4 linked regions of the Drosophila melanogaster genome follow. The protein of the gene in region 1 interacts with the protein of each later gene in a pairwise test. Each region holds a gene or a part of one and is shown in the gene's direction. Other genes may lie near its edges.

Region 1 (4,937 bases):
GTTATCTTTCTGGATTCTCGTGGGAGTTGATATTGTTGTTGGGCATCCACTGTACTTATCTACATTTGAATTTGTGTGAATGTGTGTAATTTTCTCAATAAATGGCAAATAAAACAAACCATTAGGTTGGCTATATCTCATTTTTGAATTCCACCCGTCGAAGTTCGCTTATCAGTTTTTATAGCTCATTTACAGTGAAAGTTCGATAAAGTTACTAGCAGGGAATTCGAAGAAATTAAAAATAAAATCACACGAGTATGGCTACTAAAATATATATGAATTTATTATATCTTTGATCTGTCACATTGATCAAAATGAGTAAAAACACATTTTCTTATACGCCGAAAACAAACTGTTTATATTTAATGTCGGAACAGAATTATTAAGTTCAAAACCACCATCCTAAAAAAAAGCCTAGTCAACCTAGTGACCCATCCTTATCTGTGTGTTCGCTTTCATTCCAGTTGACATATTGACTCATCACCATTTGTGCCAGCTGATAAGCAATAATGATCGACTTAGAGGATCTGCCTCGGCTGCAATCCTTGTCCCCGGCGAAGGACATCGAATATACCTACCACCAGACCCAATTGCAGCTGAATCCGAAGAAGAAGGTCACCGTCCGGGTGCCCATTGGACCACCCTCGAAGTTGAGTAAGCTGATTAAGCCCACGGTGGCTTCCACGCCCGCTGTACTGGCCAAGCCAACGCCATCCATCACCCAATCGACGACGCCAGGTAACGCCAAGACCAACATTTGGAAAGGTGGCTTCCATTTTACCAATCTGGTAAGTATTGAAAGGCTTCGGTGTTAATTACTTTATCCAAATGCCAGCACAAATGTTCCCAGTTCAGAACGCAATATATCTATAAATTACCCCCATCAATCTAAATTAATTTTTATGAGCAGGTCTTTTAGATAGATTGATAGTCTTCTAGCTATATTTTGAATTACACGTTCTGAATAGTGTGGCTATCTGTTTTATTGAGCAAGTCTAATACAAATGTATCCATTTGTGATATCAATAGCTAACGGAAGTTATTGTTAAGATATTTGTATTTTTGCATGCATGTAGAATATCAATATCAATATCATGAAAAAAAATTATTTTAAATTAATATTAAGGAAATATAAAACTATATATATCCCTTTATTTTTAATTTTAATACAAATTTCAACTTTGTTATGTAGAACTAGTTAAAAAAATGACTAATGCAAATTAACTGAAAAATTTGCATGGACACGTGTCAAAAGCTTATAAGCTTACACCATATCTACATAAAATTGCAATAGCCACCATGTCTACATAAGTTACTCTTAGGGAAAATATAAATATGTTCTTTATATTCTTAAGATATTCTTTCTAAAAACTAAATCTAGAAATAAAAGGTAGGTAATAAAGATACATTTGTAACCGAAATCTACATTTCTAGCTCTCCTTTAAAAAGCTCTTTCTGTCACTGTTAGTTTAAGCTACATTTAACATTTCTGTTAAAAGCACAATGTATTATGGTGAGACCGCACTTGGCGGCCCCGAAAAAAACCGCAAAAGCACAAAACTCAACAAAATCGTCTGCAAAGAGCCTCAACTGGGCACACTTGATAAAAGCACCGCGCTGGACAGACGTTTTTTGCCTCAAATGTTTTGAGGCCGCAATCGAAAATCGCGACTGATTTCGACGGCGGAGAAATTGCCAAACGCGGCGTAACAAACAAAACACGTTTTCAAGCTCACCACGTAGGTACGGCGGTTGGCGAAAGAGAGTAGCAAAGCGGACGCGACAATAATTTGCCAAATAACAGTGAAAGAAGACGCGTAAAGGTGCGAAGTACACGCCGCTTAAATTGTGTGTGTGTGTGTGTGCGTGTCTGGCTGCGTGTGCTTGTGTGCCGGAACAACAAATGAAAAAGTTTCGGTTGTGCGTTTAAGAACTACAGTTGCGAAATGTTGCATGCCCCACTAAATAAGTGCAACTCATTGTGTGGTGGTGGTACTGTCGGTGGGGGTGGTGGGTTAAAGGCAATCAAAACAACAACGACCAACAGGCTAGCAACAACAGTTATTCAGCAATCGCCCCCTCTCGCTCTCGCGCTCAGTCTCCCTCTCTCGCTCCCTCTCCACCGCTCAGCTGACAGAATGCAATCGAGAAAAACATCGAGTTAGAAAGAATAGGGAACGAAAAGGAACTAGCAATTTGATAAATAATTTGTTGATGCAAAGTGCAGAGTGAATGTTGAAATGCTGCCGTTGCCGGTTATTCTCTGCTCATTCTCGAAGCTTCCATATTTCATTTTTCCTATTTGTTTTGCTCTCCGCGATTCTCAGCAAAAAATTAAATCGTTTTGCATTTAATTAATTGCATTAATTGTGGGCACAGACCGAATTGGAATTGGCAAGAAAAAACAGCAGTTGTATGCTTCAACGTGTGCGTGTCTTTTTTTTTGGTGTGTGAGTCAGAGAGAGACGAGAATCGGGCGATAAAAGAAAACAAAGAAATACAAAGCAATGTGGAGGCAAAACACATGCAAATATTAGGCAGTGTAAAAACAACAAACGAAGCGAAAATATTATTGTTTTAACCCTTGATGGACTTGACAATTTTTTGTACCTTAACGTAGTTAAATAATTTTACAGCTGTCTTGAAAATCTTAACATACAAATGACTTCAAATTCTAATTTGACGTAGGTCCAATATAGGGTTAACAAATAAGTGACGATTTCACCACGTAAAACGGCACCACCACCACACACACTCTCACACAAAAGTGCGTACCAGACGGCGAGAAAGAAGCACCAGGTGGCACATAATCAAATATCAATTGTTATTAATATTTAATGGCACTTGAATGCAAATTGTCTGCAGAAGAGAAAGTTCAAGGACGCAGACAAGCGAAATATATATTTAAAGTTGTTAAATAAATAAAACGCGTGTTTTCCAGCAATTAAAAGTAAAAATCGTAGAAAGTGAAACATAAACAAATAAGGTCTTGCAGAGCAAAAGAAAAGTGAACGGTAAACAATAAACCATTGTGTGTGCTGCAGGGAAGAAGAAGCAGCGAAGAGGAAAAGAAGATCAAGCAACGGCAACAACAACAAGGAGAACATTTACTGCGCCGCAGCTTTTTTACCGTTGTAGTCGGGTCTCATCATCCAAAAAAAATTTGAGGTGAGTGCACTGCAATACAGCCACAATCACACGCACACCCACACAAGAACCCTCTCTTGCACGCACATGCACACGTCATTTCCCTACCCCTCTCTTTCTCTCTCTCGCGCACATCTTTTCATTGAGAATTGAGCCAAATAAAGTTTGGATTTTTGTTAAAATGGCTTTAAACAAAGAAAGTTTATATCGAACCTTGAAAGAATTTTGCACACAATTTTTTCGTCCGTCCTTGAATCGGGTGCTTCACTTCGCATTGCGCACATTTCAAATGCTCGCGAGAGACCTTGAACAAGTTCAAGTTCAAAGCCATTTCGTCTGGGTCTGGGTCATTCCTTCCGCCTCACGCCCCCCTTTTTCGGGTGGGCGGTTGTCTGTTAACCTTGTTTAAGGGGGGGGGGGGTGTGTGTGTGGCTGGACAGGATGGGCATATTAAATGCGTTGTGGATATCAAACAGAATTCGGACAAAACAACAACCAAAGAAGGATACATGCATATATGTATTTATGTATTATACACACATATTTCGGAAAATTCGATTCTTGACCTGCTTAATTGTCTCTGAATATGAAATTAACTATGCTGAAATGCGCTAGGTCATCATCATAACAGCCTTTCTAGGCTATCCACTTTGGTTTGGTATGAAAACAAACTATGTGTTGTGTTTCTGTAGCAAAACCTTGTTAGTGTTTCTGCACATTTATAATTTCAAGTTTAAATAATAGAGATAAGGGATGTTTCCTTACGACAATCTTTCATTTATTTTAATATCTCTCGAAAGTATTACTTATGTACCTTAACTACATAATTGCGAACAGAAAAACATAATTGTGTTCGTTTTTGCTAAATAAATATGAATCCTAATATAATCGCGATGTGGAAATTAGATGTGTTTTTAATAAAAGACGTTACCGACCCGGAAGTTGAACTTTCTTTGGTGCACTTCCTCGTGCTTAGCAATTTATAAAATCGACTGGCAAACAAAACAAAGGCTGCACCACTCGAAACAAAAGCATTTTCATTTAACATTCAAACTGCATATATGGCCATGCGGCAATGTATGAATATTACACTACATATCTACATACTTGCATATGTACATATAGTTAGCAAATCGTTATGCTTACTAATTCCATTCTATTTGTTGTCACATCTTGATTTGCTTACAGAACAAAACCGAGGACAGCCATCAATTAAAAGCAAAGAGCATTGGAAAATCGGGGAGATAGGCCGTGGAAACTGCGAATTTTCAGCTTTTTGCGCAGATTTCGGAACGCCGAAGGAGGAGGAGGAGGAGGAGGCCGGAAGGCGGGGCAAGGCGACGTCATTGAACGCATAGATCCCGGACGACGCAGCCGTAGAGCTGTTGTCCGGGACGGAGAACAACAAGAACAACAGCAGCGGAGGAGGAGGAGGAGGAGGAGGAGGCGGCGGGCGGAGGTGGACTACGGACTACAAGAGTCACCCACGCACCCATTCGCTCACGTATCGAAACCTCTGAAAGCAACAAAATGATCTCAAACAAAAAATCGTACGCTATGAAAATGCTGCAGCTGGCTTTGGCCTTGAGTCTGCTGCATTATAATCCCGATTACCTGCTCCATCGCTGGGACTCGCAGCTGGAATTGGGCACCCATGGCGATGGATGGGAGCTGGAGATGCTGCGGACGGTACACCGCCTGGATATGGATCACAACCCGTATGGAAATCGTAAAGGACTGAGTCCCCGCATTGAGGATCTCCTAAACTTCGACGATCCTTCCTTGGGGGG
Region 2 (6,734 bases), 6.1 Mb from region 1:
CATAAAAAGTGCATGACCCTCGCATAGTTTAGTTTCCAGCTGGGAAACCTTTTATTTGTCTACGATCGTACATTTATCTGCATGTGAAAACCTCAATGAAACAAAGGGAGAAATTAACGGTGTATTTTCCCAGCCGATTTACGTGGTTATATACATAAATATATGAAGTATCTGTGAGATCTTGAAATCCCTGGTGATAAAGTGTAAATGTTTGTCCTGCATTGCGGTAATCTCTTACAACAAAGTGGTTTGTTTTAAGTGGCCTTCTTTCGAGTTCAGTTTCAATGGCCTTTATCAGCTGTTTGGCACATGGCGTTGGAAGTGCGGGTGTGTGTATGTATGTAAATAGTATGTACAGTACGTACGTGTGTGCAAGGGTGACAGCTGTCGCCCCAGGGAGAGCAATGTAAGTGAGTAATATTTGTTTATGTGAAAGCAAAGTTCAACGGTACCTGCAAACACACAAACACACATCCCCAACATCCGTGCTGATTACGCTGCTGTTTTCACCTACACCGACGTACCACTGTGACAGTGTGTAAGGTTTTGCCTCTTCAGCATGATTCGGCACTATTTCGTCCAGTTTTTGCCTTTATCATTCATTTACCAACAACCAACTCAGCGTCACTTTATGCGGAAATTTAAAGCCGCACTTTGATGAACTAATGTTATTAAAGGGCGTGGATTTTCCAAAGTACGTTTGATTCGCCATAATACTTATATGGGATTTTTGGCGGGGGAAGTCCCTTTTGCCCTTATCTGATTAAACAAAAATATTTGTGTAGTACATATGTAGTGGTTTTAATTTGGTGATTCAGATAAGAAAAACATACGATAAATTTTAAACGTTTTGTAAACATTTCTCTAGAATAAATAATAAAATTAAAGGATAATCTTTGAAAGGGTTTTGTGTCTTAATATTATTAAATGAAAAAAAAAAATATTTCATTATTGTAGTTACTTCATTTAATGCGAAAAATTTTTTTAAGTGTGTATCAGTGATATTAATATTTCTATCGTCATGTGTATAAGGCGTTCATAAATTGAAATTGTTTTGGGAACATGACTTGATACTTCAAAATTTATTGCCTTTTCAATTGAGCTTGGTAACAATGATTAATCGGATATACCGTACAATATTGTGTATATGGCCATTTATGTTGTGAAATTCCCTTAAGACAGAACTCCGATCATGACTAAAATACTATGCAATAAAAAATAGAGAGACGTAATCTCTTTTAAACATATTCCACGATATGCGCATACGAAATTAGCTTAGCTTTTTGTTTTGATTGTATTCAATAGTTCATTTGGCACGGACTTTGAACACATTTTAGCTATCTTTTGAACAAAACGAAATTCCTAACTGCTTGCATGACACGCGTAATTTTTTTGCAAACGCTGTGTAGCCTGAGGCTCCATACAAAAACCTGTTGCTGGTAAACATGGTAAACAATTATGTTTGCCATCGGTTACGATTTGTGAGCATCATCGTTACGGTCCAAAAAACCGCCCACGGGCCGTGCGTTTCATTCATGGCATTATATAGTTTTTATCGCCACAACACGGAGTGTATTCACCTGGAAGGGCCACATAGAACTCAGGCACATGTGTGCACACACACACATATGTAAGCATGATAACGCTCTTTGAAACGCTCCCCCCACTCCGCCACCATCCCCGCGAGAGATAAGTCTCGGTGGGCTCTGTGGCTGGGCAGACGCAGACCACGGCAGTCAGTTGACGGGCTCTCTCCACGGCACACGCATGATCGCCGGAGCGGATTTGCGGAGAAGCAGCTGATCGCGCGCTTTCATTTTCACACGGACTTTCAGTCTTTGTTTGCGAAACTATTGATTATTGAAACTATCTCTACCGAACTAACGAAGCTGTGAAGGATCCCTATCGATCCGAGATTAGTGCCAAAATGCAAACCCAAATGCACTCGCCCATGCAATATGAGACCCACATCTCCGACATGCCCAACCACAAGGGATACCCCTGCCGCCCAGAAGGTTGGTTTTTTTTAAAGTTCTGGATTTGACCTTGGGTCTACAGTTCAATTCGCAACAAGTTTGCCAGATATTTTCGCTACGCGTGCTTTTGGTAAAAAAAAAAGAAACCACTGATCATGACGGTGCGCATTGCGAATCAAGTTCTCTGAAACAGCCCACAATGATTGGCGAAAACGATTCCAGATTGTGCTACAGTGAAGTCACTTGTAGTTGAATGTGAGATGATAAAAATTAATGGAGTGAAACGGCACTTATCCAGGTTGCATTGCTCGATTTGGACGTTTGAATAATTAGAGACATTTGAAATATTATCGCGAAAGAAACTGGTTTGTGTTGACAATGCAAATTCCGGTTGGCAATGTAGTATCCATTCGAAAGAGTGTTCTTGAAATAAACAGATAATTTACCTTAATCTTATCTTAGTTTTCTAATCGAGAGCTTATAAATCTTTAAGCCCAATTTACCAAATTACCAACTCATAAACTTACCAACTTATTCGCATTCAAAAACAAAATAAATGACCGCTTTAATTTCTAGAACGTATTAAAGGTCGGTCGTATCTAACCTTTCGGTTATCTTGGATATCCATAATATAGTACGTCATTTCACACTTGGAGGATTTCTTTAAAGTGCCATTTTTAATTTTTTTGCAAATTCATAACAGATTAGATAATAAAATAGAATAAATAGCCCGCGCTGATTGTCGATCTATTTGCGATGGATGAGGTACGAGGTACAAGGGTTACAGGGCTCAACTGTAGGGCGTGTATTGGTTTTAAGATTAATAATAATTAATAATAATTAATTACTATTTAATATAATTATTAATTATTATTAAATTAATTGTTAAATAATTAAAATTAATTGAATATTTTCTGAAATATGTCCTGGAATTACAATATGATCTATTCCTCGATTTTCCAGAGGCTGAGATGAGCAACACTTCGGAAAGTTGTTCCATCTCATGCGGTGGTCGATTCGGATCGGCGCACTCGACCCTAGATGATCACGATGCTACGGATGATGACATGACCTTCTGCATGTCCAATTACGCCAAGGAGGCCCTGAAGATGATGTACATGATGCGTTCGCACGGCATGCTCACGGACGTGGTACTCGAGGTGAAGAAGGAGCTCTTTCCCGCCCACAAAGTGGTGCTGTCGGCGGCATCGCCCTACTTCAAGGCCATGTTCACGGGGGGACTCAAGGAGTCGGAGATGTCGCGCGTCCAGCTCCAAGGGGTAAGTTGAGCTCAAGCGCGGCCCTTAATTGGTTGGTTTAATGGATGAACAGTTCGTCCGTTTCGGTGTTACAGGTGTGTCCCACGGCCATGTCACGCATCCTCTACTTCATGTACACCGGCCAAATACGTGTGACCGAGGTAACGGTGTGCCAACTCCTGCCCGCGGCCACCATGTTCCAAGTGCCAAACGTAATCGATGCCTGCTGTGCCTTTCTGGAGCGCCAATTGGATCCCACGAATGCCATTGGCATCGCCCACTTTGCTGAGCAACACGGCTGTGTTGAGCTGCAAAAGAAGGCCAATGTGTTTATTGAGCGAAATTTCACTCAGGTAACCTATTTACGATATGAAAAGAGTACACAAAACTATAGCTACTGAGTTCCCCTAAGGTGTGCCAAGAGGAGGAATTCCTGCAGCTTTCGGCATATCAGTTGATTGCCCTGATACGAAGGGATGAACTGAATGTGCAGGAGGAGCGAGAGGTTTACAACGCTGTGCTAAAGTGGGTGAAATACGACGAGGACAATCGACACTGTAAAATGGAGCACATTTTGGGCGCTGTCCGTTGTCAGTTCCTTACGCCCAACTTCCTCAAGGAGCAGATGAAAAACTGCGATGTTCTGCGAAAGGTGCCCGCCTGTCGGGAGTATTTGGCCAAGATCTTTAAGGACTTAACGCTGCACAAGTGTCCAGGAGTCAAGGAACGAACCCCCAACACCACAAGGATGATATTTGTCGCCGGTGGCTTTTTTCGTCACTCACTGGACATTCTGGAGGCCTACAATGTAGACGACATGACGTGGACGACACTGGCAAATCTACGCATTCCAAGATCTGGTTTGGGTGCCGCCTTTCTCAAGGGCAAGTTCTATGCGGTTGGAGGCAGAAATAACAACATTGGATCTTCCTACGACTCGGATTGGGTGGATCGCTATAGTGCAGTCACCGAAACATGGCGTCCGTGCGCTCCCATGTCCGTGCCACGCCATCGAGTGGGCGTGGCCGTGATGGACGAGCTGATGTACGCCGTAGGCGGGTCCGCCGGCATGGAGTACCACAACACGGTGGAATAGTAAGTAGTGTTCATCATTTCAATAGATAATAGTTTAATTAATTTGACAAAGCCTTTCTGGTTGTTTATTCTATCGACATAGTTTAGCAAACCCTATTTATTTAAATCTCTTGCAGCTATGACCCCGATTTGGATCGCTGGACTCTTGTACAGCCGATGCATGCCAAGCGCTTGGGAGTGGGTGTTGTGGTGGTCAACCGTCTGCTTTATGCCATCGGAGGTTTCGATGGAAACGAGCGCTTGGCCAGCGTGGAGTGCTACCATCCGGAGAACAATGAGTGGAGTTTTTTGCCACCACTACAAACGGGTCGCAGTGGAGCGGGTAAGAATGACTGGCGCATCCTGTTATCTAATTTCCAACTAAGTTCCGATTTAATTGCTATCAGGTGTTGCTGCAATTAACCAGTACATCTACGTTGTTGGTGGCTTCGATGGCACCCGTCAACTAGCCACCGTGGAGCGTTATGATACCGAAAACGATACCTGGGACATGGTTGCGCCAATTCAAATCGCACGCAGTGCTCTCTCGCTGACTCCGCTGGACGAAAAACTGTACGCCATTGGTGGATTCGATGGCAACAACTTTCTGTCCATAGTCGAGGTCTACGATCCACGAACAAATACGTGGACAACAGGAACACCACTAAAATCGGGAAGATCGGGTCATGCGTCGGCGGTTATTTATCAGCCGGCGTGTTCCACCACGTTTATGGACTACGAAGATAGTGACGCCCCACACCCGGATGGAAGTAACAACGGGGAAAGGAATGCTCATACACCACAAAACACGTACGGCAGTGGGAGTCCACATTATCCTGGGACGGCGTCCAATATGCAGTTTCATACTTCATACGGAATGAGCGGCTGCAACAATTGTGACTCGGAAATGGATATAAAACCATATATTCCTGCAGAACACCATAGTTTTCAAATTCCCGCCATTAGATCCGAGGAGCTAGTCAATCCAAACTGTCCTTGGTCCAGAATGCAGGAAAGATTTCGAAGAACTCCACCAGCGTCTTTCACAGATGATGAGAGAAATGCTAATGATATGCGGCATAAATTAAAAAAAGCACAAAAAGAATGTTTATTTAGCACAGCAGCGAAAGTTTTTCACCATCACATCGAAGGTCGCCTGCGAAAACTCACGAGCGCAGCCACATGACAATACGAATCCGAGCCTCACGCTTAGCCTCAACCAAAAACATCATTCATTGTACAAAGCCTGATCGTATCCCCTAGAATTCCATGTTGAGAAGCAGCATTCCATTGTAATATTACTTACTAGTGTGTTCGCTAGGTGATAATTAGTCAAACCGTTTTTATGGCATCCATAACATAACTGGCGCTCGTCAGCCCATTTTAAAAAGATTGATTAGGGTTAATAGTTGATTAGTGGGAGGAAAGTTCGTATTTTACGTATTTTGTAGGTATCCAAACTGATAGATTGCGTATTGTACTTTTTTTAACGTAGGATAAGAAGAGGAATTATGCGCATCCAAAATAGGTTTTAAGAAAAGAAAGCAAATAATTTAAGAAAAATAAAACAAACATATTTTACAAAGTTATTTAATCTTTTTGCTATTAATCTTGTGCAAACCTTTGGCCGTGGCAACAAAAAGGCCATATTCAAATATCTTCCTAATAAAACTCACCGTGACAGTGCTATTTATTCCATTAGAAAGATAAACTGTTGTTTTCGTATTTGTTTGTAAACGACTATTTGTGTATTTTGCTTTTAAACAAGTTGTCTTAACAAGTTGCACATTAAAGACTTCTCTGCTTTCGGGGTCTTGGAGGATTGAAGGAAACATGTGTGTTGTCGGTAATGGAAACGATGTTCAGCCCACCCATTTGCAGTCCTTTGATGGCCGACTGAATCAAAACATTTAATTATTTTTAAGTGACATGAGAGACAAAAAGTATTGAACATACCATTCTTCCAGGGCCAAGACCACGAACCTTTACTCGCACTGTCTTCCAGCCCAATTCAATGGCTTTCTGAAATACAATTTAAGTTTTTTGTTTTAAATGATTCTATGCCCATATTATACTATTCAAATGCATATATGGTATACAACTATAATGGAGATTATCTCGATGTTCTATGTAGTTTTTGACCATCCTACTTTGGTAAAACCTGTTTCTTGTGGAAATGACTTACTCCACTAATGGTAACCGCTGTAGCTTGAGCTGCTATGTTGGTTCCCTTGCGAGTGTTTTTGAATCCCTCAATTCCACAGGATCGTATCAGCCGGAGGACTCCTGGAAAGAGGGATACTTTAGATCACAGTTAGAGTAACGTTCCAGATGACCCACCTTTGTGATCCGTGACGGAAATAATTGTGTTGTTGGGTGAAACGCGAATGTTGCAGATGGGCAGCTCGTTGAAGGGTATTCCATT
Region 3 (3,227 bases), on another chromosome or scaffold:
ATTATGGAACAGCCGGGCCAACGCACTCCAGAGCAGCCGCAGCCTAAGCGTCGCTTCTTCCGACCCTGGATGGATGAGTCTCCGGAAGAGGAGCAACCACAGCCGCCACGTAAGATTGTGGCTACATCGACACCGCCGCCACAACAAGTGGATGGCACCTACCACGCTAACATGGTGCGCAATCACCACAAGCGCCGCCAGCGCAGTCCACAGGAGCAACTGCGTCGGGATCGCAACACCTTGGCCAGCCTGCGCCATCGACGCTCCCAGCAGCAACAGCAGCAGCTCATCGAACAACAATACCTGACCAGTCGCATTCAGCACGAGGCCAATCTGCAGCAGCAGATCCGCCTGAGTCTCTACTATGTGCGCTTCCTGCAGCAGGCGATGGCCTCCACGGAGCCACTGCCTCCCACACAGCCAAGGCACATGATGCCGCGCCAACAGACCACCACCCAGCATCCTTGAAGGGTGGACATGGTGCAACGACTGGGCGCTGCTCAATGCGCCCTAACTTATTGTAGAAAAGCTGAATAGTGATTGTGATTACTTTTAAAGTTTAATTTATTTATCTGGTTGACTAAACAATAAACACACTAATTGTTATCGAAATAACTTGTAATTTTTATAGAATTTTGTAATAATTGGTTTTTAGTTGGTTTCTGATTGATTGAAATCTAACTCGGGGTCTTATTTATTGAATCTTATTTGGAAGTCTGATATTTCTTTTCCGCCGTTTAACATCATGAGGATTTGTTCTAGACCAAAACTGACCGGAAGCATCAGCTCATAAGAGTTACCTCACTTGGTTTTTCTGCCATTATATAACATTAAATACATCTTATGTAATTAATTTCTTGGAAGCGCAATTTGCAATGCTAATTAAGGTGTGAAGTAATTCTAGTGATTCACATAGCCAGACTACAGTGAGAATTGAATCGATTCGGCACGAGTGACATATTGTGGGAAACACGGAATAAAATTGTAATTTATTTCAGTTGGATTTAATTATTTAATTTATAAACAAATCAGCATAGCGAACGAACAAAGTGCTTGCAAAATAATTAAAACACGGTGACAATAAGATCCGCCTTTATATTTAAATAATCATCAATGAAATCATCATATTGTTGTCCGCGATTAAAAATTGCGCAGATAAATAAATCTTAATATACTAAATTATTTACACGAATAGTGTTTTACTAATTCATTTATATATATGATATATGCCGTATACATGTTTGTACGAAGTTTATTTAACTCTTTAAATATTTTTAAAGGCGTGTTTTACTACCTAAACTAATAAATGGATTAAATATATTTAATTCACCTCTCAAGACTTCCATGAATGCAATTCCTTCTCCGTAAACTGAAATCGCATCTGTCAGCAGTCTTTAAAAATCCTTGACACTTTTTTCTAACCACCGACCAGGACATATAATGCCATGTCATTCTAGAGGAAAAGTGTTCGGCAAAGGACCCTCGAGAATTTCCAGGGAATTAAAACAAAGTGTGCTGAGGAACCAGGAGCCAAAGGGACCACACACGGTGCCACAACAAATTGTGTCATGCAGGTCAATAAAAAAATGCATCGCCTGCATAACAGTTGTTCGGTCCAGAACTTTCCTGTTCCGGTGGCCACATTTGTCCGATAATCCAGGTAATCCACACACCAAAAAAAGGATAATGAGGCAATCCTGCGACGACAATTAGCGCTGTGATAGAGCAGGTCATAAAATATGCTGCTTAATCCAGGACGGAGATTACCTAATGCGGAATGGATGCGCTAATCCCTTTGTTGACAGACCCAAAACAAAGGGATTTCCCTATGTGGCTACCTGTACCGCCTACCTACTGTGCTTATAACCAGGATATCAATCTCGAAGCCAATCATTCAGCAAGCGATCGTCCAACGAGTCACATCATCACCACAACTCATTCGGAGTCATATTATCGAAATACAAAAATGGAGAACTCATCGAGCTACACCCACAAGAAGTTTGCCGTCAGCAAGCGGAAACGGGAAGTGGACCATGACAAGGAGAACCAAACTCAGCAGTCGGAACAGCCGATCTTCAAGCGCCGTCAGACACAGGGATTCTTCCGACCTTGGTTGGATAATGAGCAGAACCAACAGGCGGAGAAGGAGACGTCAACGGCGGCGAAACCCAGTGGCCCAGGATCCTCGGTCAGCCAGTACCGTGCCAACATGGTGCGCCGCAGTAACACCAATCGTCAGCGAAGCCCCAAGGAGCAGATGCGCCGCGATAGAAACACGCTGGCTTGCCTACTCAGCCGGCGGGCCAAGCAGGCACAGGAGGAGCAAGTGGGTCAGCAGTACGAGCAGTATCGGAGTCATCATGCCGCCATGCTGGAACAGCAGGTGCGCCTCAGTCTATACTACCGCCACATCCTCCAACAGGCGGTGTTCCAGCGTGCCATAAATCCGGCACCGGGTCACATCCTGCCGCAGCAGCAACAACAGTTCCTCCAGCAGATGGCCCTCTCCCAGCAGATGCTCATCTTTGGTGGCCAGCACTGCTGACCGTCCAAAATCATATCATAATCAGCGACTATGGATAGCCCAATCATGTGATTTAGTTTATTAAGCCTTAATTATTAATATTTATTGTTGACTTTGAAATAAATCAAAAGTTATGCATTTAATTTAAATTGCCGGTTTTGTTAACTGGGGGTTATCACTTGGAAAATTCGAAATTTAATCTAAAATGATTGTTAAATTTGTTAGGAGGTCAGTGGATCGCAACCATTACATTTTTTTACATATGTATAATAATGCTATATATATTAGGATTTTAAACATCTTTAAGTTAACCCACCGGCTTGAAAAATAGTAAAATTATATAAAATGATTAAGAGATCAATTATCATTTCTAATTTAATTACAACCTAATCGTGATCATAATATATAAAATTTATGGTATAATTTTTAGCTCAATAAAACTAAAAGTACTGCTATCAAAAGTAGATTATCTATTATTTGATATGACTTTTGGTAAAAAAGGGCTCAATCAAGGGCTCAAAAACCACTTACTCCAGTGACTTGTCTGACCACTGGAGTAAGTGAGTCATCGAAGCATTGACAGATTTTTCCGAGAAACCATTTACCCAGAGTGCCATTACCCAGCAAAGTTCAACTAATTGTTGTCTAGCTAATTTTCATGGCGTTCTCATTTCGTGGCGGCTTTCGTCAAGGTTCAAACCCG
Region 4 (3,204 bases), on another chromosome or scaffold:
CTTGCTTTCAATGGTTTGATTCTTTCCACTTACCCGCCGTCTTGCTTTTGCTGTAGTTCTTGCCAGCATGCGCTCCCGTATTGGTATTCCAGATCATCATCACCTCATCGCCGTCAATGGACACGAGCAGAGTTTCCAAGTGGGTGCTGTTCACGGATGTCAAGCTGATGGTCTCCGCGCTGATGGCCGGCACAACTTGGAGATTACTCTGAGGCTCAGACTTGGTCTGCGGTGTTCCTGAAGCATGTACCTCGGCCTGGTGGTAGATGTGATGCAATACTTCTCTTTTGGGCTTTGCTGCCTCGCCATCGACGATCACGGCATCATCACTGGACGAGCTGTACTGGATGACCTCCAGACTGCCCTCGGTCGAGTCGCTGGCATCGTTCTTGTTGCTAATGGTGCTGGCATCACTTAAGGGACCCGTAGGCTTTGTGGGCTCGCAGTCATGCAGCGTGACCTCCACGTGCTGCGTTTTATCCTCCTGGCGACTGGCTAAGAGTTCGGCTTTCACACTCTCGCAGGCCTCAACGAAATCTAAGACAGCGGCACCAGCTGGCTTCTCTAGACCCACAAATTCGCCGCCACAATCCTCTGAAGATTTGCGGCGGCGTTCAGCTATAGGTGCACCGAACTCGTACTCAAGATGATCAAAGTTGTATATGTCGAAAGGGTCGTCGGATTCGGCTGCCTTCGATTTGGTCAGTGGTGGTGGCTTTGTCTTGGGTTTCTCCTCCTGGCCGCCATTGCGGCTTCGCCACTCTTCAGCACTTAACGCCAGATTATTGGTTTTTTCGTCCTCGGCAGCAGGCACCTCCCGCCAGGCTAAGCCGCATATGGGCGCTTTGTGGCCGTGGAACTTGTAGACGATGTTCATTTTGCGCAGATCGCAGACCAGCACATTACCCATAGCCGTTCCCACAGCGAACAAATTGTCATTGTAGGGCGAGCAGCGCACCATAGTGAGTTGGTGATTTCGGGGCGAGATGAAAGTGGAGCGACGGCAGTAGGTGTTGGATGCCACACAATAGATGACCAGATCACTGGCGTCCATGGATAGAATGTTACCATTGGCCAGGTAGCTCATCAGCACGGAGTTGGTAGTGTGGTGCACGACGCGCACATCCCGCGCCTCGTGCTGGTGCTGATGGGCCTTGTGCCCGATGACGGCTTCGCCCAATGCGCAGTCCCACACCTGAACGCTTAGATCGTCGCCCACAATGGCGAATGGCTTGGTCGGCCCACCGTTGCCCAAGCCCCACATGGGACTAACGTCCAGGGCCAGTATGTTGATCCGCGTCGACATGGTCACCACTTGGGGCTGCTCTCCGTTTGCCGGCGGCGCGGATATGTAGTTGATGCAGCGAATGCCGGCGTACAGCAAACCGCCGTCGGGAGCAGCGGCCGCCAAAGATACGTTGCCCGGCGGTGTGGGCACATTGTGGTACATCACCTGCGAGTTCATGGCGAACAATAAGGACTTGGCATCTGCAGGATGAAGGAATATTTCCCGCTAACAGTTGGCGTCGTTCGGGGAAAAAACTTCTGTAAAGCTGTTAGTGTTAGGCAGCTTCTTAAACTTTGCCAGCGATGCCACCTGGAAGGCACGGAACTTAACAGTTAATTAAAATTGATAATAATTAAAATATAAATTTGTTATTTTCGAACTTGTATTTATAACAAAAATCTGGATCTGCTTTATATAAATAATTTAAAAATATAACTAAGTACCTTATGCTACAAAGCCTAAAATCTAGGGATCACGTTAGCTTTAGTATATTTAAATTACCCGCTATTTACCACAGACGTTTTTTGTCTATCTGCCAACTCTATGCAATCCATTTCCTGTGAATGGCAACCAGCAGGTAGAGAGGAAGAAGAAGACACACAATAACAACGCAAAAAAAAAAGGTAGAAAAATCTAGCAAATTCTAAAAGTCTCCGTAAAAATAAAATACAATCGGCCACAATGGAAGCAAAGCGCGAGAGAAAGTCATCCCTGGTACGTACCTTGTAGATATATGCGAAGAAGAAAGAAAACCCTGATAGAAGTGCGATTTTCAGGCACCACTTTCGCCATGTCCAATTCCGGATATTACCGATGACGATTTGGTGAGCATTTCGGTAAGGGATCTTAATCGGACCCTCAAGATGCGTGGCCTGAACCGCGAGGAGATCGTTCGGATGAAGCAGCGCCGGAGAACCTTAAAGAATCGCGGATACGCAGCCAGTTGCCGCATCAAGAGAATCGAACAGAAGGACGAGCTGGAGACTAAGAAGTCGTACGAGTGGACGGAACTGGAGCAGATGCACGAGGACAACGAGCAGGTGCGCCGCGAGGTGTCCAACTGGAAGAACAAGTACAAGGCGCTGCTGCAGTTCGCCATCCAGAACGAGATACCCATTCCCAGCGAGCTGGAGGGCTGCTGAACGATTGCCCAGTCACATTCCTGTTTCTGTCAAAATTACAATAAACCCAAAACGGAAAAAAACACCTGTAACTAAAGTACAATAGCTGGCAAATATCCTTCCTCAATAAACGTAATCTGCTCAAGAACCTCTGCATCGCCTTTATTGAAGCACCCTGTATTTAGCATAAACAAAACCCGTGTCGGCGCTGCGCTGCGAATGTCATAAGATCCGGAGCGCACAAGGAACTCGGCAAAAGGCTGGTGGTTATGTATTCATCTCGATAGCTCCGCTCTCCAACCAGTTCATCCATGGCATTTCGGTTCTTTGGCAAGTCCTTGCTGTACGCTCTGCCACTTGGCGTCACTTTCCTGGACTGCGTTGGTTATGTGGCCAGGGTGGATGGTGAGTCGTCCGGAGTTTATTCGCTCCATGTTAGTGTGCGCTAATTAATCCACAACTTTTTGCAGGCATCTCCATGCAGCCCGCTCTCAATCCCGTGCCGGATGAAAAGGACTATGTGTTCCTGCTGCGCTGGGGCACCCACAACAGTCAGGTGGAGCGCGGCGACATAATATCGCTCATTTCACCCAAGGATCCCGCCCAGAAGATTATCAAGCGCGTGGTGGGGCTGCAGGGCGACGTCGTGTCCACGCTGGGCTACAAGCACGAGATCGTTCGCGTACCCGAAGGACATTGTTGGGTGGAGGGCGATCACACAGGCCACTCCATGGACAGCAATACCTTTGGACCCGTCGCCCTGGGCCTGATGTCCGCGCGGGCAGTGGCCATCGT

What was found.
Region 2: the proteins of cnc (region 1) and Keap1 interact in a protein complementation assay, tested with the Drosophila melanogaster proteins (one study listed by BioGRID).
Region 3: the proteins of cnc (region 1) and CG16815 come close enough for resonance energy transfer, tested with the Drosophila melanogaster proteins (one study listed by BioGRID).
Region 4: the proteins of cnc (region 1) and maf-S interact in a two-hybrid assay, tested with the Drosophila melanogaster proteins (3 studies listed by BioGRID, with this or other methods).

The regions. Positions count from the first base shown.
Region 1 is NT_033777.3:23,218,648-23,223,584, reverse strand, and holds the start of cnc (cap-n-collar), read left to right. Parts: upstream 1-1,623; 5' UTR 1,624-1,739; exon of another isoform or gene 1,740-1,823; intron 1,824-2,688; exon of another isoform or gene 2,689-2,941; 5' UTR 2,942-3,168; intron 3,169-4,335; 5' UTR 4,336-4,677; coding exon 4,678-4,937. UniProt on the Drosophila melanogaster protein: Plays a role in posterior cephalic patterning. Probable subunit of a heterodimeric regulatory protein involved in the control of head morphogenesis.
Region 2 is NT_033777.3:17,073,099-17,079,832, reverse strand, and holds Keap1 (Keap1), read left to right. Parts: upstream 1-1,730; 5' UTR 1,731-1,927; coding exon 1,928-2,015; intron 2,016-2,939; coding exon 2,940-3,256; intron 3,257-3,330; coding exon 3,331-3,588; intron 3,589-3,647; coding exon 3,648-4,330; intron 4,331-4,446; coding exon 4,447-4,652; intron 4,653-4,716; coding exon 4,717-5,495; 3' UTR 5,496-5,891; downstream 5,892-6,734. Other genes in the region: mRpS11 (mitochondrial ribosomal protein S11), read right to left, coding at 6,098-6,205, 6,266-6,331, 6,495-6,595, 6,650-6,734.
Region 3 is NT_033779.5:13,227,940-13,231,166, forward strand, and holds CG16815 (uncharacterized protein), read left to right. Parts: upstream 1-1,892; 5' UTR 1,893-1,966; coding exon 1,967-2,545; 3' UTR 2,546-2,610; downstream 2,611-3,227. Other genes in the region: CG16813 (uncharacterized protein), read left to right, coding at 1-468.
Region 4 is NT_033778.4:20,639,117-20,642,320, forward strand, and holds maf-S (maf-S), read left to right. Parts: upstream 1-1,859; 5' UTR 1,860-1,969; coding exon 1,970-2,002; intron 2,003-2,049; coding exon 2,050-2,430; 3' UTR 2,431-2,552; downstream 2,553-3,204. Other genes in the region: rig (rigor mortis), read right to left, coding at 34-1,465; CG11110 (uncharacterized protein), read left to right, coding at 2,721-2,814, 2,880-3,204.